Arabidopsis thaliana: one gene and its partners. The protein of the gene in region 4 interacts with the protein of the main gene of each other region in a pairwise test. Each region holds a gene or a part of one and is shown on either strand. Other genes may lie near its edges.

What was found.
Region 1: the proteins of PIL6 (region 4) and AT4G37710 interact in a two-hybrid assay, tested with the Arabidopsis thaliana proteins (one study listed by BioGRID).
Region 2: the proteins of PIL6 (region 4) and RCD1 interact in a two-hybrid assay, tested with the Arabidopsis thaliana proteins (one study listed by BioGRID).
Region 3: the proteins of PIL6 (region 4) and TOC1 interact in a two-hybrid assay, tested with the Arabidopsis thaliana proteins (3 studies listed by BioGRID).

The regions. Positions count from the first base shown.
Region 1 is NC_003075.7:17,716,578-17,719,323, reverse strand, and holds AT4G37710 (VQ motif-containing protein), read right to left. Parts: upstream 1,197-2,746; 5' UTR 1,091-1,196; coding exon 719-1,090; 3' UTR 553-718; downstream 1-552. Other genes in the region: PSK6 (phytosulfokine 6 precursor), read left to right, coding at 6-134, 229-363. UniProt on the Arabidopsis thaliana protein: May function as negative regulator of flowering transition.
Region 2 is NC_003070.9:11,610,541-11,616,757, forward strand, and holds RCD1 (WWE protein-protein interaction domain protein family), read left to right. Parts: upstream 1-1,577; 5' UTR 1,578-1,828; intron 1,829-2,197; 5' UTR 2,198-2,320; exon of another isoform or gene 2,321-2,772; 5' UTR 2,773-2,886; coding exon 2,887-4,010; intron 4,011-4,118; coding exon 4,119-4,366; intron 4,367-4,691; coding exon 4,692-4,771; intron 4,772-4,861; coding exon 4,862-5,020; intron 5,021-5,103; coding exon 5,104-5,199; coding exon of another isoform or gene 5,200-5,208; exon of another isoform or gene 5,209-5,291; coding exon 5,292-5,354; 3' UTR 5,355-5,678; downstream 5,679-6,217. UniProt on the Arabidopsis thaliana protein: Inactive ADP-ribosyltransferase that functions with SRO1 to regulate oxidative stress, hormonal and developmental responses. Required for embryogenesis, vegetative and reproductive development, and abiotic stress responses.
Region 3 is NC_003076.8:24,673,117-24,679,071, reverse strand, and holds TOC1 (CCT motif -containing response regulator protein), read right to left. Parts: upstream 4,110-5,955; 5' UTR 3,533-4,109; coding exon 3,400-3,532; intron 3,083-3,399; coding exon 2,921-3,082; intron 2,785-2,920; coding exon 2,651-2,784; intron 2,501-2,650; coding exon 2,333-2,500; intron 2,249-2,332; coding exon 2,095-2,248; intron 2,002-2,094; coding exon 896-2,001; 3' UTR 522-895; downstream 1-521. Other genes in the region: AT5G61390 (Polynucleotidyl transferase, ribonuclease H-like superfamily protein), read left to right, coding at 36-270; AT5G61370 (Pentatricopeptide repeat (PPR) superfamily protein), read left to right, coding at 5,601-5,955. UniProt on the Arabidopsis thaliana protein: Controls photoperiodic flowering response. Component of the circadian clock. Expression of several members of the ARR-like family is controlled by circadian rhythm.
Region 4 is NC_003074.8:21,827,370-21,832,680, forward strand, and holds PIL6 (phytochrome interacting factor 3-like 6), read right to left. Parts: upstream 3,469-5,311; 5' UTR 2,813-3,468; exon of another isoform or gene 2,534-2,812; 5' UTR 2,527-2,533; coding exon 2,456-2,526; intron 2,335-2,455; coding exon 1,608-2,334; intron 1,527-1,607; coding exon 1,461-1,526; intron 1,368-1,460; coding exon 1,017-1,367; intron 940-1,016; coding exon 820-939; 3' UTR 536-819; downstream 1-535. Other genes in the region: AT3G59070 (Cytochrome b561/ferric reductase transmembrane with DOMON related domain-containing protein), read right to left, coding at 4,995-5,189. UniProt on the Arabidopsis thaliana protein: Transcription factor acting negatively in the phytochrome B signaling pathway to promote the shade-avoidance response. Regulates PHYB abundance at the post-transcriptional level, possibly via the ubiquitin-proteasome pathway.

The DNA of each region.
Region 1 (2,746 bases), on a different chromosome or scaffold from region 4:
ACAAAATGGCAAATCTCTCTACTTTGATCACGATAGCTCTCCTCCTTTGCGCCACCATGCTAACGTGCAGCGCCCGCCCTGAACCTGCCTACTTCGCCTCCTTCACAACCTCTCCGGCGGATACACTTAGTCTGGTTAGTATTATATGCGTAAACACATGTTGAATGTTGATTCATGCGTAGTTATATATTTTCGTTTGTAATTTTATGTTTCATTGTGTTTCATCAGGAAATGATAGAATCAAAATTACATGAGGTGGCGGGAGAGAGCTGCGATAAAGAAGACGACGAAGATTGCTTGGTGAGAAGAACATTGACGGCTCATCTTGATTATATCTACACACATAAGAATAATCATCATTAATTAGCTGTAAAATTATTCTAACGTTAATTGTTGTGAATTTCAAATTATTCTCACATGTTAAACATGTGTATATAGAATCATTGATTAATTCAATTTATTCTTTTAATGAAAATATCAAATTATTCCCAATGTAGTTAGAATCCTTAATCAATCCAATTATGTTTTATTTTAATCAAAAGTCTTAACTCCCACAAATTATGTGTGTGTTACAGATAAATGACATAACAAATTAATTCTAGAATGCGAGTCTGAAAAATATATGATTACATCTTTCTGGTTTATTAAAAACAAACTAAAAATAAATACAAGAATGTTAAGCATTTCAATCAAAAGAAGCATTTTGCAAGAGTAGAAGCTACCATCTGGAAATATTTGCAGGATTTTGGAATGAGAAATCTCCCCAAGATGATGATGGATCAAACGCAAATGACGAAGAACTCTGCTTTGCTGCATCATCCGAAGTCTTGAGCGGTTTAGCCTGCACAGTCTCGTGCTCAGGTGCACCGGTTAGCCTCTGAACCAACACTTTGAAGTTTACTGGCTCGACTCGGTAGACATGAGGATGCATTGGATTCAAAGGTGATGATATTGCAGGCCTCTTCAAGGGCTTTGAAGGTTGTTTACGTGTCGAATGGAGCGAAGTTAGGTAATTTTTCGTTGCCCTTGTGGTGGTTTCTTGAGCGTTAAGGTAACTCTGAGACATAAATTGTTGTGATGTTGCTTCCATTGAGACTTGAGATGTCGCTTAAAATTCTTTGAATGTGAAAGTTATGTTCTTCTGATATTTATTGATCTTTGAATGTGAAAGTTATGTTCTTCTGATATATAATGATGGATGTGCAACATGTTCAACGAGGGTCAAGCCTTTGGTTTTTGACTCTTATTAGGGAATTGACTATTGAGAACATTGTTTGTTTTTCTTAGTTTTGTTTATGAGAATCATAAGTGAAAGGGGAATTTTCAACGTGTGTGTTCTTAATATTTTATTGATTTGATAGTTTTCGAAGTTTCTGATTAGGATTAAACTATTAAGAGGAAGATTCTTTAATCAAACTGAATTAATACTTTATCAAATATTATAATAAAGAAAGCTGTGGCTGTCCACGTGACGGTTTGATATTATCTGTAATGGTAAGAAGATTAAGTACTTATCAATAGCCTTCGGATTTGAATCTAATCGGATTCCTTGATCTTTTTATTTTATTTACTTTTATAACAAGTAATCTATTAGCCGTAACAAAAAAACAAACTAATCTATTATTTTGATTTCTAGTAATACAGTGCGCATAAGAGTCACGTCAGTCGGAACGTTAGAGAAAAAGGTAAATTTGAACGTTACATAACGGTAACTCTTTTGGTTTATTTCTTTAACTACGATGCTCTAGATATCTTTCAGATTTAAAACATTTGAGATATATATATATTTGGAAGAGGTCACATAAGATGATAATAACAAAGAAGCTTAACCTCTGTTCTCGTGGTTATTTGATTTGGTAGATTAGTCTTAAAATTGTCTTGAAATGGAAAATAAATTAGGCAGTCTTGAAAGAATCTACTTGAATTTAATTGTTCATATTGATATATAGGAAAAATAACAATCCTAGTTCTGTTTTATTAAGAAGATTAGTTTCTTTGAAAAACTAAAATATATGTCTGAAATGGATATTTGGGCATAAAGGTTTTTATTTTATTTTTAGATTAGTATATGATACTTGCATGATTATGTTGCACATAGTTTTCTGAAATTCAGAAGGCGTTGTAATGAAAATTTTGATTTGATTTTTGCAGGTTTTTTAGAAGAGCATAAACTCAACCGGAGTATGTAAAGAAAACGCCTTGATGATGAAAGTGATGATGTGCAGATGGAGTAGTGATGGAAGGAGAATGTCATAGAAGAGAGAAATCTAAATGCATCATTGGGATTGTGCCGTGCCATACTTTGATTGAGTGTGGAATGTGTATATATCAGATGTGTGACGAATGCTTGTAAAATATATTGATTCAAACTATATATCAAACTCAAGAATAAGAACAAGATTATGAATAAAAGACTCTCTCTTTTATTGCTTTAAGAAAATAACTCAAAACCTAAAAACACACAATCTTAATCTCTCAACTCATAAGTTTTGCAACACTCTTGCAACTCCTTTATATAAGAAAAGAACTAGACAATTTCCTAATCCTATTAGGAAAACACACATAAGTATTTAGGCAACTTCCTAAACACAAAGTCTAATTTTAATTTCCTTTTTGCTTGATTGCTTCTTCTTCAAGTAAGCTTCAAGCTTACTCCAACATTTTCCCCCTTAAGCTTGAAGCTACACTTTGTCATATCTTGAACTCCCACAAGATCTCTCATCTCTTTGAACTTGATTCTCCCGAG
Region 2 (6,217 bases), on a different chromosome or scaffold from region 4:
GGATACGGATACGGATCCGGATACTCCAAAAAACCCGGATATCCGGATCCGTAACAGGCCTAATCGTAGGTTGGTAAATTCTAGAAAAATAAGAGATATAAAAACTATATAGTTGTGACATATTCATTATTCAATATGAGCCATGGCTACACAAACTATATAGTTGTGACATTTTCATTATTCAATATGAGCCATGGCTACACAAACTATATAGCTGTGACATATCATACACAGAATAATATTCCCATGAATGCATGTATATATAGATCCTTTGGTTTTCCACCGAATAGTACAAACGTGTATATGATAAAAGTTTAGTCTTGAATTTTATAGATCTTACAAGATTGGGAAGACAGCCGTTTTCGGTACCAACTAAACCCGTAGTCACGGCCGGTCCATCTTAATATGCTGTCTAAAGCCCAAAAAATAAAAACTGGCCCATTATAAAACAAAGTTGAAAAAAATTGCGAGGTACAATTTATCAACTAAGTATTCTTCATCCGTCTAGACATCAAAAGAGTTCTAACTCTCTCCAAGAGATATCGATCTAGTGTTCTTTCTTAAGCCAATCGAAATGTTATTTATCCATCCTCAAATTAGCCAATTCCAAATATTGTTTTCAAATTATAGCCTTTTCCAAAGATTGTGTTTTCAATGAATAATTGTAGAAATTTAATTTTGATAGTTTTTTTATAAGAAAACTACGCAAAAAGTCCAGACTTAATATCCAAGGTGATATCTTTTCCAAGTCAATAGTTCATTGACTATTATGCGTATCTTCTATGTTTTAAAATAAAATAAATTTTGCTAGTTTAGAAATGTGATAATTATTGGAAGTATATCAATGGAATTTTTTATATCTCATTTAGTATGTCTAATTTTGAAAGTTATCTGTATTGAAAATGATTAAATATTCTTACCCTTATAAACCATATATCACTTCAAAATTTATGCTATTGTAGTATTGTTTATAGAAAAACGGAAAAATAAAAATCATTACAAATAAACGCGGCAATGAAACAGAAAAAATAAAAACCATTAAAAATAATCGCGGCAAATTTAAATAACGGCTATCGAAATAATGAAAATTATTTTTTGTTAACAAACATTTTTCTGGAGAAAGTTTTTAAAAATTGATTAAATATTCTTATAACTTTGTAAAATAATATTTTCAAAAACTTCTAAACTATCCTCAACTAATAAAATTTTATTTGCCACTTGCAATACAACTAAAACTTTGTTAGACCTTGTACGCAATAAAGAAAATATTTTTCAATGTCGATAGCTATCTCCATTCCAATGGCCCCCCTAGTCTATTCATCGATTCACAATCTTATCAATCATGTTCCGTCAATACACACTTTTCTAATTTCAACAATTTTATAATTGTTGCCCTCGTTACATTTAATTGTAATATTTTTGTTCTCCTCATGATAATATTATTCCATTATTGTATTCGACCATATCTATCTGCGTGTATTGACCGCCTCTTCAATTAAGTCACCACCCAATAAGATTTCGACGTTGACTGACCGACTTGTAGCTTTAATAAAGCCCACATGATTTGCTTTTCGTCCAAGCAAATTTTTGGTTAGAGAAAGAGGAAAAAAACTCAGGAACCGCCGACTTAAGAATTTCTTCTTCATCATCTCTCCAATATCGCCGATTATATATAAATGACTCTTCGATTCTGTTTCTTCTTCGTCGTCATCGCCGGCTTAGGGTTTTCTCTATAAGCAAATCTTATCTTCTCCTTTTCCTCCGTTTTTTCTGGTCAGCTTTTGCTTTTAGATTACCCTTGTTGCCTGCGATCGATCTGAAAAAAGAGGTCCGTCATGTTCATGTTCATGTTCAGTTTCTTTTCGTTTTGTTTCAATTCTTCTCATGCGATTTGAGGATTTTTTTTTTTATCTTGAATTGTTTTTTTTTGTTGAAGTCGATGATTGTAGATCGGCTTAGATTCGTTTGATTTTGAGTGGTTTTGTGTTGTTTTGATTGAGTTTTTGGATGATTCGTGTGATTATGCTTACGATCTGTGTTTTTTCGTCTCTGATTTTAGTTTATTTTGAAAATCAGTGAAACTGCGATTGATTTGGTTCGATTTGTGGATTTTGTGAAGCAACAGAGCTATTTTGACTTGAGAGATGAATTTTAATTTTTATTGAAAGCTAAAAAGTTGCTGGTTTGGATGTTGCAGGAACTTTATCTTGCTGACGGCTGTTATAAAAAGACGTGGCATTTCTTCTCTGATTGTGTTTATTTTTATGACGGAGAAGATGAACACACTTGTAATCTATCAGACTCTAACTGTTACTGTTGGGTGAGTTTCAAGCTCATGGCTTGGGTTTATTGTTCTCATTTTTCTGTGTTGGTGATTGGGTTTACTTGTTTTTGTTGGTTTGTTTCTGTGTTTATCTTTAGTGTCTCATAGGATCGTTCTTGTTGAGTGTGATGTTCATTTCTTATTGCTTCATTCCTATGTAGGTTGATTTGTACCTTCCGTCTTTGTAATGGATCTTTGTGCTCTTTATAACACAAGATACAACAAGAAGTAATGAAAGACTGTTCATAATGTTACTTACTGATGGAAATTGTAGCAAATGTCTTTTGTGAAGGAATGATATTACAGGATCATAGGTCTCATATAGTTATGCTGATTCTTTCTTGTTTACTGATTCTTTATCATGTAAACTGTGAGGAGTTTTTGTTTGACTCTATTCTCTGTAATATAGTTGTTCAATATTTTAAGCCTTTTCCATTTCTTTTGTGCAGTGTTTTCTAATGCTGTCGGCAAGACACTATCTTTAGGACTGCTAGGGAGTTTAGAGGTTACACAGTTGACTTTTTCTATCAAGGTTATAGGTTTAGTATTGTTAATATATAGAAATGGAAGCCAAGATCGTCAAGGTGTTGGATAGTAGTAGGTGTGAAGATGGATTCGGAAAAAAGAGGAAGCGCGCAGCAAGCTATGCTGCATATGTTACTGGAGTTTCGTGTGCAAAGCTGCAAAATGTGCCCCCACCGAACGGGCAGTGCCAAATTCCTGACAAAAGAAGAAGGCTGGAAGGTGAAAACAAGCTTAGCGCTTACGAGAATCGCTCTGGGAAGGCGCTGGTCAGATATTACACTTATTTTAAGAAGACTGGAATCGCTAAACGTGTTATGATGTATGAGAATGGCGAATGGAATGATTTGCCTGAGCACGTTATATGCGCCATCCAGAATGAATTAGAAGAAAAGAGCGCCGCAATTGAGTTCAAGTTATGCGGTCACAGTTTTATTTTGGACTTCTTGCACATGCAAAGACTAGACATGGAAACAGGAGCAAAAACCCCTCTTGCATGGATTGACAATGCAGGAAAGTGCTTTTTCCCTGAAATTTATGAGAGTGATGAAAGGACCAATTACTGCCATCATAAATGTGTGGAAGACCCAAAACAGAATGCTCCTCATGATATCAAACTTCGCCTAGAGATTGATGTTAATGGTGGCGAGACACCGAGGTTAAATTTGGAGGAGTGCAGTGATGAGTCTGGTGATAATATGATGGACGATGTTCCCCTTGCTCAACGATCTTCAAATGAGCACTATGACGAGGCTACGGAGGATAGCTGCAGCCGCAAGCTCGAAGCTGCTGTTTCGAAATGGGATGAGACTGATGCTATAGTCGTCTCTGGTGCCAAGCTTACGGGAAGCGAAGTACTTGATAAAGATGCAGTAAAAAAAATGTTTGCTGTAGGCACAGCTTCTCTAGGACATGTACCAGTGCTGGATGTGGGCCGTTTTTCCAGTGAGATTGCTGAAGCTCGTCTAGCACTTTTCCAGAAGCAGGTTGAGATCACTAAGAAACATCGAGGGGATGCAAACGTTAGGTATGCCTGGCTTCCTGCAAAGAGGGAAGTTTTATCAGCAGTGATGATGCAAGGACTTGGAGTTGGTGGAGCATTTATCAGAAAGTCCATCTATGGTGTTGGGATCCATTTAACCGCTGCAGACTGCCCTTATTTCAGGTATTTGCCTCGTATTCATCTGTTTTTTTCATGTTTAGATCGTATATTTTACCTTCCTCTGCAATAGGTTCTTTGTGTGTCAAGTACTAACTATGAACTTGTTTACAGTGCTAGATACTGTGATGTTGACGAAAACGGAGTACGTTACATGGTTTTATGCCGTGTGATTATGGGGAATATGGAGCTTCTTCGTGGTGATAAAGCTCAGTTCTTTTCTGGTGGAGAAGAATATGACAATGGAGTCGATGACATTGAGAGTCCAAAGAATTACATTGTCTGGAACATCAATATGAACACACATATATTCCCGGAATTTGTTGTTAGGTTCAAGCTGTCTAATCTCCCCAATGCTGAAGGTGATTAGTTTGTTCTTTTTTTTGTTCCTCACATTCTATCTTCCCCCATTCAAATCAACTGATGACGCATTGAAAGGGAGACAGCTTAGAGATCTGGCTGAAGCTCAGGTCTCAACTGATAAATTTAGAAAAAAAAGTTCCATGTGTGATAATGATAAACCTAACGACCTCCGGTGTTATAACACATTTGGGTTTCAAGAGACAAGTCTCTGATTCATCATCCGGGGGTCGGATGTGATACTCACGCCTTAATGGGTATTTCGATCCATCAAAATTATGTTTTGTGTAGTATTAGAAGTCCGATGACATACACTGGTTTCTGCAGGTAATTTGATTGCTAAGCGTGATAACTCAGGGGTCACTTTGGAAGGACCTAAGGATCTTCCTCCTCAATTGGAGTCAAACGTGAGTTTGGTTACTTCAGTTTTTCTTTGTATGATCTTATTAAAGAAGAGGGACTGAACAACTATATGTGGTGTTGTTGTGTTTAAAAAGCAGGGAGCAAGAGGTTCAGGAAGTGCAAACAGTGTTGGTTCAAGCACTACAAGACCCAAATCTCCATGGATGCCATTTCCTACTCTGTTTGCAGCAATCTCACATAAGGTTGCAGAGAACGACATGTTGTTGATCAATGCTGACTACCAACAACTGAGGGTATAGAAAAAAACTGATTCTGAGAGTTTGCTTTATGATTGGTAATTGCATAAGCTGGAATACATAAGAAATTTGTTGTGCAGGATAAGAAGATGACGAGAGCGGAGTTTGTCAGGAAACTGCGGGTGATTGTAGGAGATGATCTGCTAAGGTCCACCATAACAACCCTTCAAAACCAGGTAAGATAGTAGTAGTAGAGATATTGTTGTTGATCATAAGTTTACTTTGTAAACGGAAATGCTCAACAAAGGTTTTTTGGTTTTAACTTCAGCCAAAGTCGAAGGAGATTCCAGGAAGCATCAGAGACCATGAAGAAGGTGCAGGTGGATTGTAAGTAAAGTGGATGATGATGATGACGAATATCAAAAGGAAGCTGCTTTTTATCTATCTACCTGCCTTTGTGGTTCTCCTTTTGACTTTTTCTAATTTTAGACTTTTGGTTTTGGGTCGGGTCGTTGGTAGAGTTTAAAATGTGTCGACTTTTCTTTCTGTCGTGAAAAATCGTACTATATTATATGATTCTACTTAGTCAATGATGTCGTTGGGTCTTTGTTTCTTTAGCTGCAAGCAAAACATTGTTGTGGAAGTCGTTGAATCTTGACGAAAATTTGGTCGTTAAGCCTATCGCGTGAAACTTTTCTTCACTATACTTTTTCTCATTATTCTGTTAGCTTTATTAGATGCCTCACATTTGTGTGAAGGATTATTTAAGAGTATGATAACTGGTCACCTCTGGGTTCCTTTGACACTTGTGTACTACGGGTAAATCAAGACTAGAGGAATACCAGGAGAAAATAGTGTTGGTCCTCTCCTCCCCTTTAGAGCTCTATATGATGCGCACTGAGTAAGCTTGGCCTCTGACGATGAGAAGCTAGTGGATATCTCGATATTCTAGGTCCAATCAGTTCGATTTTATGGAGTCTCTGTGGAGTAGAGTAAACGGTCAGTTTGGGATCTCTTTCTCTATAACAGCGATTTGGAATCTGATCCGAGTGGTTCACCCAAAAGTACAATGGTTCTGGCTGTTTTCTTTTCATGGTTATAATCTGAAGCATTATTTTATTCCTTTTTGTTTGTGTTGTGAGTCGGCATTTTAGCTTTAAACGAATTTAAAACCGAGGAATTGATGATGAGCCTAACTCTTGCATATTACAGAGGATTGGAGCCATGTATCTTTCACTTGGACTTCGTACTACA
Region 3 (5,955 bases), on a different chromosome or scaffold from region 4:
TGCTTTTTTTCCTGATTATTTCTTTGTATGTGCAGTATACCCACAGAGTTAAATGGAGATATAGATCGGTACGCAGCTGAGATACACCAGAAAGAGTTCTCTGGAGCTACTGCTACTCAGAAACTCATTTCTAGCAACCCCAAGGCTGAAGAGATTGAGTCTTTGTTGAATCCGAGAACTGTTCTTGACGCTTTCTTGTCTCTGGAGCCATATGATTATCAGCAGAGAGCCGGAATCCGTCTAGTTGCTAGAAAGCTTGTTATACATTAGTGGACCTTACTCAATAGCACCACAGAGAATTAAAGAAATCAGAGTTTAGTGGACTGTAGAGATTTATTTATGTAGTCATGAAAGAAACACAGAACTGTTGTTCCTGACAGTAGATATACAGCTGATTATGTTCTTAGTTTCAGATAACTTAAATCCAAATTTAGATTTTCATATGCTTCTTGTCTGTGACACAATTGCATTTGTATTGTGTTTTTCCGAGGAAAGACAGAAGCTTTAGTGGTGGAAGACATGGAGCGATTATATATAATTATATATGTAAACACAGGTGAGAGAGCGAGGGAAAAACAAGATTCAAGTAAATGATACTGGAAGGAGAAGAAAGGTTAATACATCTGAGTACTTACTGAGAGAATGTGAGTGAACATGATAAAATACATTATATGTTTATCAACGAACTAAGCTAAACCCAATGAGAGCTTTTCAATGCTCTGTCAAAAAGTTGAGCCGCAAGAGCCAACATTGCCTTAGAGACAACTCGATATTCGATGTTTTTTTGGCTGTAGCAGTATCATCTTTTTCGTGTCAGTCGATCAACATCTTCTGTTGTTTGATAAGATGCAAGCAAATACGTATAACACAACGGTTTTCAGTTCTTGGTGTATCTTCAAGTTCCCAAAGCATCATCCTGAGGAGATGAATCCCGGTTCTCCTCTTCTTCTTCTTCTTCCTCCTCTTCCTCGTCATCATAGTCAGCAGAGTCAGGCTGTCCATTTAAATCAACATTCACGCCGTTCATCTTCCTAACAAACTGACCCTTAACGCGGGGTCTCCTCTCAGCAAGGCGTTTCCTATTCACATACCTAATCTTCTTATCAAAACAACGTTGGTTCCTTTTACGTCTGAATTTCAGCAGAGCTTCCTCTCTTCTGTCAAGTTTATTTACCCTCACCTCATTAGAAGGCGGATTTCCTGCCGGTGACCAAGAATGATGAACCATAGACATCTGACCATTCTGTAAAGACATCTGACTATGCTGCAAAGATGTGTTCATTGGGTGGTGGTAGTAAGGATATCCCGTCATTCCATTCGGATGATTTGGTTGGCAATGAGGAATTTGATGACCATATTGAGGCATCATGGCTGCTGATTGCATCATAACTTGGTTCATGACCCCATGCATATAGTAAGGATAGGCATTTGGTGCAGAGAAACCCGATCCATCAACTTGAGACGAATCTTTACTTCTGTTCATAGCAACTTGGGGAATATTCATATTGCCCTCTTGGTAGTTCCTACCATGAGATTCCATTGATGTGGGAAGCGTGCGTGACCGCTCAAGGGAATGTGGATAGCTGGCGCCATTCTGCAAGGTCTCTCCTTGAGAATGGTATTGCTCGGTCCCTCTACTTCTGTGTGCTTGTTTGGTGTTGTTGATCCCTTCACTAGCCACCACTTGAAACTTTTCCGCCGCACCCCGATGAAGATGATGTGAGCCATTTCCATTGACAAGAGGAGGATCCTGACCGTTAGTTCTAAGGACAGTAGATTTTGGTGTTGCTCTGCGTGCTTGTTTGGTGTTGTTGATCCCTTCACTAGCCACCACTTGAAACTTCTCCGCCAAACCCCGATGAAGATGAAGTGAGCCATTTCCATCGACAAGAGGAGGATCCTGACCGTTAGTTCTAAGGACAGTAGATTTGACATATGTAAAGAAAGCAGAGGACTCTCCGATCTTCAATCTACTTTTCTTCGGTGCTGAAGAAAATTGCGCTGCAAAACCCCTACTATATTAGAATTCACTAAAACAAAGGTTCTTTTAGAGACTAGCTATTAGAAAGTGAGACATCAAAGAGAAACAATCACCTGGATTACTATTTCTTTTCATTGGCTCATGGTGAGACCCAGCAAGATGATCCAATGGAGGCTCTATAGCAGTAACAGCAAGAGAAGAAGTGGCTGTTCCATCAGCACCAAGACCACCATCACGAGCATGAACAGGAGCAGTAGCAACAGACCACTACCAGCAAAAGCATGAGCGCAAGCTAAAAAATCAGTTCTTCTCCATTTTCAGAGGGCTTTAAACTGTCAAATACTTTCTCACCTCATTTTCCTGGTGACTTAAATTTCCTCTCTGTGGGTTGGTGGACCTAAGACTTCTATCATCTGTGTCGTCAGAGAACAGGTTGGTACTATTTGTGTTTGGATCACTTTGATCAGATCCCACAAGATCAAAATCATAGCTCAACATATTCTTCTCAGCAAGTCCTAGCTGCCAAAACAAATATATGAAATCAATAGCATTAACTTCATGCATCAAGGTCTTTTATTTCAGAAGACGACAGATTGAGAGATATGGCTATCAAGTATTGCTCAAAAACAGTAAGATAAATAGAGAGAACTTGAGACAAGCAAAACAAACCATGCGTCTTCTTCTCCACATGTGTGTCCACAAGTTCAGAAGCTCGTTGGTGCGAAGAGGCTTCACAAGGTAGTCAGCTGCACCTAGCTTCAAGCACTTTACAACGACAGGGACTTCGTCTTGCCTCGACATCACTTAAATTGAGAATATTATAAGATTAGTCAGTATAAAGCTAATGATCATGCTGTCAAAAGCACTTTGATAAGCAGAGAAGATACAACTTCACGAATAGATAATAAAACGAGAAGAGCAACAAAGAACACAGCTTACTTATCACAGGGATTCTGCGAAGATCTTTGTCTCGTGTGATGTACCTCAGCATCTTCATACCCTTAGCCATTGGGAGATCAATTTCCGCCAGTATTATATCGATATCAGGTCCCTCTGCATTAAGTGCATCAATCACCTGCCTTGCTGATTTCACTGCAGTCACTGCATTCCAAAAAGAATAAAAACAATTCATCCAATATATCATCATTGAGTCTTGAACAACAAACAGTTGAGCATAGTGTAAAAATAGAAAGCAATACACACTAGAGATGCATTCAAAAACTATCAATAAGGTACTAAAATCAACAAAGGTTAAAAATGTCATCTTGATCACATCTGACCATACTGACTCAAAAAGCCAGACGACAAGAACCTATAAGAGATCTGCAATCTAAAGTAGTAATCCCAACTTAGCAAAAAATAACAAAGTAAAAAGAGAAACTTTGGGAACAAGACAAGGACAAACCTATAAATCATACCTTGATAAGAACACTCTGAAAGGAGAGTAAAAACCTCTCCCAAACTCGTGGAATCATTGTCACAAAGCAAAATCCTGACTCTGCTTCTATCAATAAACCCATCTCCTCCTTTACACTCACCGTTCAAATCCATGATCAGATTAACAACTAAACCCACACAAAAAAAATATCTAATCACAGAACCTAAGAAAAAAAAGGATTATACAAAAGTAGAAGAAGTAAAGCCGACAATAGTAAGTGCTATGATACTTCCATGGCCAAATCAGAACTAGGGTTTTTCGGTACAGTGTCCCTACAAAGTCGCCTAATTTATCCCCTTAACAAAGTCAAGTAATCTCACAACCAAACAAAAACTACTCTTTTAATCCCCCAACCTAATCCTTTATCCATAAGAACAAACAAAAAGATAAATCTAAGAACAAAGAGCTGAAATAGGAAATTCTTTTTTCTCTATATCGAATCATGAATCAACAAAAAAGCTCAACAAAAGTCACCGGAGATCCGGCGTAACGCCGGCGGTGAGATGAGGAGGAGAGAGAGAGAAGGTGAATTTCCGACAAGAAGAGTGAGAAGAGAAAGAAGACTCATTGTTTTGTTTTGTCAATCAATGGTCAAATTATGAGACGCGAAAAAGAGAGAGAGAGATGGTAAATCAGAGACCGTTGAAAGAGGATAGAATTGGACGGTGGAGATTAAGTCTTTTTCTTACGCGTTGTTGTGTAGCTTAATGGTGGGACTTGGGATATTTTAGGCCAAGGAGATGACGTGGACAATAAAAAGTGCAGGCCATAAAAAAAAAGGTTGTGTTGGATAGTTTGGTTGAGATAGAGAAAAGGCCACGTCATCTTGGAGAAAATATCTCATGATATTTATTTTTGTTTTTGATATTATTGTGGTAAGATACAAGATAAGAAGATGCATCTCCATATCAAAATCAACAAACATATCAAAAGGTCGACAGAAAGAAAAAATTGCAAATTCTTTTAAAATATATGACCAGATCAGACCAAACCATCAGAAACCAAATTTTAGGATTCGGCTTCGTTTCGTTTATTAAAATATATTTATAACAACAAGAAAATCTATTATCAGAATTTTATTTTTCTGTTATCTTTAGGTACTGAAGAATTAAAGATACAAACAAAATAAAAATAAAAAACGAAAGATACAGATATAGAAAATTTTACTTTTATTACATCTCAATTTCTCATCACAAAAGACTCCTAAAAATTATGATTCTTTCTAAAAGCACAGGGTTATAGATATAACACTCCTTTCATGGTTGTTATAGAGGACTTATTTAGGCATTATGATTCATTAACTTCTTAAAGTGATTGAAAAATCAAGCTAAATGATATGTTGTAACAAAGTTTCAAGTGTTTTTTTCTAATGTTATAAGTGTATGTGTGCAAATTGTCTTGTAAACAGGACATTAGCAAGATGAAATATTTACCTTCTTAGCAAAAAAGATGGTTAATCTCATCATCAGTGGTTGGGAAACAAATAATCAAGTTGTCATAATCATAAAAAGAGATAATTAGTAGGCTAAACTTTTATATAGAAAGTAAGTAGTCGACAAGCTAAAATATTTCGTATTACCGATTGGCTCATATTAGTAGCTGCGAATATCGTTAGTACAAGTGGACCAATAATGCATGATATATTCTCAACTTCATCCACCGTAAGACACGTTTTGTCCCGGTCCAACTTTTATTACGTTTTGCCATCGACCATTGACCAATAACTTGTTTATGACTTTATGATGTTAATTATTCGTGTAATTTCAGAACTATTTTATCGGGAGTTCGATTTTCCAATATGCATCGGCGGCCTTCGAGAGTAATCATTCCGGTTAGTGACTTATAAGTTATAACCATCGTATCTCACGATTATCGGTTTTATCCGGTTCTGAATTTGAAGCGTGATGGAATGTAAAAGACTAAAATGCCCTTTTCAGACACGCGGGCAATGTTTCCAACAAATGAATATATATTGTTGTTGAGCCGAGCGATCTCATGAAATCTGCAAATTTAGGTCTTTTAATAGAAATCTGAATTTCATGTTGCTGAAAGAATTTACAACGAAGTTGTAAATACTCTGAGAAACATGTAAGTCAGGAGAGAGTCCCTTCTATGGTTTATATTTGGCGGCTTTTAAGAAGCATACGCATATCAAGTGTTTGATGAAATTCCTCAGAGAAGATGATGTCCACCACAGTCAGATTAAACAGGTTTACGTATCTAACGAGTACTGCAAAACTGACACGTTACTTTTGCTCTCACCATTTAGTTGACCGATCGGAAACGGCGTTGCATGAAGTTATTCGGATAGTTTCTTCTCCAGTTGGTGGTCTAGATGACCTTGAAGAAAACTTGAACCAGGTTTCTGTTTCTCCATCATCAAACCTTGTTACCCAAGTGATTGAGTCTTGCAAGAACGAGACTTCACCGAGAAGGCTGTTGAGGTTTTTCTCCTGGTCGTGTAAAAGCTTGGGATCTAGTTTACACGACAAGGAATTCAACTATGTCCTAAGAGTTTTGGCTGAGAAGAAGGATC
Region 4 (5,311 bases):
CTAAAAAAATTCATGCGATTTTCTCTTATCTGTTTCTTCCACAGAGATCAACGAAGATCAGATTCGAATGCGTAATTTGAAGCAAAACAATGAGAAACAAAATCAAAGAGCGATAGAAAGAGAGAGGCTCAGGAGTCGGGTCGCAGCTTTTTCTATTAATAATCGTGTTTGTTTTCAGAGTGCTGATTTGTAAGATGCTTATTGGTTGACTTAATTAATCACATTCTATACGTTTTTATTATTTTAGTAATTTTTTTCTGCTTCGCTTTAATCGGAAACCTACACGCTCGAGTATGTGATTAGGATAAACTCGCTCCTCTTGTAAGACACGTGTCACTTTAGAAGGACATAATCGGTAATTTGATTTCACCGTTAACTTGAGGAAACTAAAAATCGAGTAGGTATGGGACTCGCTAGTCGTTACGTACGAATCGTGGTGGAGTAAACCACGTTAGCGTTTTCCGTTTTTTGTATAACGTATGCGTTTTGAGCAGTAATATGGGTTAATGTTCATATTCATAGACCCAAAAAAGCCCATGATAATGTCAAATGCAGGCCTAGTCTATCCTTTTTATTTTGTTTTTCTGATGAACCTTGAGAACAAATATAAAAGTATTGACACATGTATGATCTTTAGGTTCCCAACACTTGATTGATACTATAATTCAACTGTTTAAAAATAAGTTATAAGTATGAGACTAACTTATTAGATCTCTATAATACATTTGACTTAGCTTTTATGCTTGCTTAGGCGACCAAAAATAAATAACAATCACCAACTGTAAGAAGAATAATTTCGGAGGAAAACTATATGCCAAGTCAGCCTATTTTACCCATATGAAGACTGTCGGTGGTCGCCGGTGCCGACAGTTGACTTTGCGGTCCCGCCGGAGATCCAAATCCCAACATGTCCGCTGGTTGTTGTTGCACGGTCTGCATCTAATTTAAAACATGACACGTCAGATATTAAATAAATATATTTGTCTTTCTTCAAAACGATGCCGTCTGCAACTGACCTGATTTCCCGCCGGCGGCATCTGGGGAATCCCGCCCATGTACCTAGCGAGCTGCTCCGATAAGATTTGGTTCTGTGCTTGGAGCTGCAACTGTACCGGGTTTTGACATACTAAACCGGGATGGTTCTGCGGAGCGGACCGGTTCATAACCGGGAATTGAGACAATTGCATCTGACTTTGCATAGCCATCTGATTAATGTATGGAGATGATTGTACCCCGGGAAACATCATCGGACTTGCTGCTGCTGCTGCCGCCGCCGCCATTCCACTTCCCATCCACATCACTTGGAGTTGCATTTGAAGTGATTTTAAGTAATCAATTGCTTCATCCAATATCGAAGCTTTATCTGTCTACACAAAAAAAGAAGAAGACAAAACCATATTTAAACACACCAATCAATTACAGCTTAATTAACTCAGTTTTTTTGTGATGAAAAAACTTACTCTGCTGCAGTGAGGTATGAGTTCTTGAAGAGCTTTCATTCTTTCATTGATCCGATCTCTCCTCCTCTGTAATTAATAGACAAAGATCACATCAGAATTATTATTACTGAATGGTTGATCAACTAGTCAGAAATAGTATATGTATACCCTTTCTGAGAGATTATGAACTTCAGCTGCACGGCTTCTTCGAGTAGATCCTGACCGTTGGCTCGATTTGTTACCCATGGTTTGATCATCGGTTGAGGTCAAACCTATATCTGATTGAGACACAGATTCTTGATCAGCATCCATAACATGTTTTCTTTTACGGTCAATGGTTACACTTGTTCCACTAACGGTTTCTTTGTTGTTCCTTCCATAGCTGCAACCGGAGGAGCCACCTGACGAAGTGTCAAGTCTTTCTTCGACGTTCTTGCTTCTATCACTCATAGAAACCGGAAGTGTAGTGGCCTGATGAATATTTGTTGACTGGTTGCTGCCGCAATGACTCGGTCCGACTGTTATAACCGAGGATCTAAACTTAGGAGGAGCCATGGCTTGAGCCTCATGCTTAACTGTCTCTTCGATCGTTCGTGGCTTCTCAGGACCTCCGAGGTGATCGATCGAAGAGAAGAAATGAGAGGAGAACTCGGATTCGAAAGGGTCGATGACGTCATCCGGAGGGTATTGTATCCAGGAGACGGTTTCTTGATCATCTAGAGCAGCGTAGTTAGGCTTTTGTACTGTTTCTTGGTTGTCAAGAAAAATATTGTTGGGTTTTCTTAGGGTTTCTTGTTTGTGGGTTTGGACTTGGACTGACGGTTCTCTACGAGCTTGGCTTTGTAAAACCACTTGACCATCTCTCCACAATAGCTCCACTAATTCATCTTCTGGTCTGTCCCAACATATGAATGTTTACAAACATATTTTAAACAAACAATACTTAAATAGCTATGATTAAGATGTGAAATTGGTATATAATTATGAAATACTTGAATTGGAAAATTGATATATACCTGATTGATCTTTTATTAGTGGACATGTGAAAATTATCTTCAAAATTCCAATCAGCAAACACTTGTTCCATGTCAGATCTGTAAAGACACTTAAATAAAGAATATATTACTTTTTTGTAAGTGAATAAGAAATGATTTGATTCATAATTAGTATAATGATTAACAGGAGATTTGAGGAAAAAGGATGATGAAAGCAATCAACTTAGAAAAGATTATTCGAAATCCCAACAGTTTAATGATTAGAAAATAATTAAACCAAACAACCCTCTCCAACAATCTAGGAGGAAATGATTTAATAAAGCAACTAATTCTATATATAGTAAACTCTTACTAAGGGGAAGCTATAAAAGTAATTACCAGATTTAGAAGCCTCTGAATGGATGGAAGATTTAGCTATATCAGTTTTTTTTTATTGCTTCACACGTAACAAAAATCGAGCAAGGAGGGACAAAAGAAGAACAAAAGATTCTATCTCCAAAACCTTCTCGGTTTTATCTCTCTTCTAGATAGGGAATTGTTCTGAAACTGAGGGAGTAAAGTTGAAACAGAACAGTAACACAGAGAGAGAGAGAGAGAAAGAAGAAAGAGAGGCTAAGGTTCTTCTTGCCAGGTTCAGACAGAAAGGGACAAGAGCTAGAGGAGGGAAGCAGAGAGATTATTACGGTAAGTAAGCGAGTGAGCGAGGGGGAGATAATGATTCGGTGGGGGCAATAGTACTGAAACTGATCAGGATGACCGACACGTGGCGAATTGTCAGACAACTAGTTAAAGAGTTAGTGAGACCCACCAACTCGGTTGGATTTTGTCTGTGAAGTTGAGAGAGATCTATTGCTCGATTTCTAGAGGTGGGTTTCTGATCTGTACCTTATCTGCAACACTCTTTGAGTCTTGACCAATGATTAAGGGTGTTTTTGTCAAATCATAACACCCCTCTTATGCTTCTCTTTCAGCGAATAGTATCTCTAATAATGGTAAACAAAAAACAAATTGAAGTTCTCTATTTTCTACGATGCTTCGATGAGTTTATATCATCATCTACTATATGAATATATGAACCGTTTTATAATCATCTGAATTCAATTTCATGTCAGAGTCTCATTAAAACCCGAGCGGAAATAATCTTGAGAAGTCATCATTTTTTCCCCCGGCAAATTTCCACATCGCATTTATTTCACGTGTTGACTAGTTAAAGCTACCATCGTAAGTTTTTGTGTTATTATCATTCTCTAAACAACTGCAAGTTTATACATATAACTTTTAGTTGATTGTGAATTTGGAATTTATTAATTATACACAAAATTTTGGATATTAATAACAGTTTTGAACCTAAATATGCAATCACAAATTCACAATGTCGTAATAAACCGTGGACCGTTGTGACTTGTTTGTCATGGACCACAGACAAACAATGGTCCACCAAAATTATGATCACATTAATTTCCGATCCTTATCACAATAATTTAACAGTAGATCAGTTTCTAACCCTTATCACATCAATCTTATCGTTTAATGTGCATAACCCCTACCGATCTAATGATAAACAAACATATTATTAGTATGATAAATTCATGAATATATTACATTGCAACTTACAAGTAGACAGACAGACATATATAGTGGGTGCATTTGTGAAGAAAGCATCCACCGAAAGGAGACATTTCCCTTTAAAAGTCTTTGGCCCTCATTTGCTTTTTCCACGAAAGAGACGAGGTCGTAATAGCGTCCATTCAAGGCTATAGAAGGCCATGAGCCAAGTAACTCAGTTTTTGTTTCCAGCCATAGAAATAGTAATTTAGTGCAAAATATGGAATTTAAATATGAGTAGTTTAGTGAAAATTGCTGAATAATAACACTTTTTCTTCCGTATGCAAGTTTTTTTTTTTTTTGATAAATTATTTTGTATGCAAGTTGCTATTTGCTAGTTGGATGAATTAAGTTGATAGATAGATTCGTTCGTCGTGGACGATACATGTAAAACGTTGTTATCCCAATCAAGCAAAGAGGAACACGGTTACACAGATGCCAGCCATAAATCATAAAACCCCAAAACCCTTCGATTGCTATTTTATTTTTCTTATAATTTTTGTTTGCATTTGACTCAAATGATGTCGTTGTATTTGAATTTATAACTCATGTCGACATATAAGTCGTCGCCTAGTTGGATAATTAATTCCATCATCTTCTAAACCGATATATGAATTAATTCTATGCATATACATTAGATTTCGACGAAGGAACGAATCTATCAATCATCATTGATTAAGGAACCATATACATACATTAAATATTTATGAATATGCATATTCATAGGATGAAGATAACATCACATTAAATAGAATGACATTAGCAAATTGAATTTATCAGAAAAGGCCCAAAAGTTTTAAGTCATGTCATATAACAGATATTGTACTGTGTTGTGGAGATGCGTTATTGGGCCTAAGATACGGCCCAGTTTAGTCCGAAAAATACAAATTTATCAGAGAAAAGGGCCGAACAAAACGTCAAAACCCTAACTCTATAAGAGACCGTTCTGAAACATTCAGGCGGCGGTGGCGGCGATGGAAGTAGACGGATGGTGGTAGGAATGAAAGGCTAGAAGCGGCGGAGAAGTATGTGGATAAGAAATAACAAAAACTGAGGGGATCATGAAGTTCTTCGTTATATTATAGTTTTCAATCTGAATTTCAATTCCGCCGCTCGCCTTTTTCCTCTCCGCCTTTTCCGTCTCTCCGATCTGCTCCCGCCGCCGACCTTGTGATGATTATAGCTCTGAAGGTCCATACAAGGATATTCAAATCTCACTTCTTGTAGAATAGAAATTTCGAAAGTTATTATTGAATAGAAGAACTTTTATTA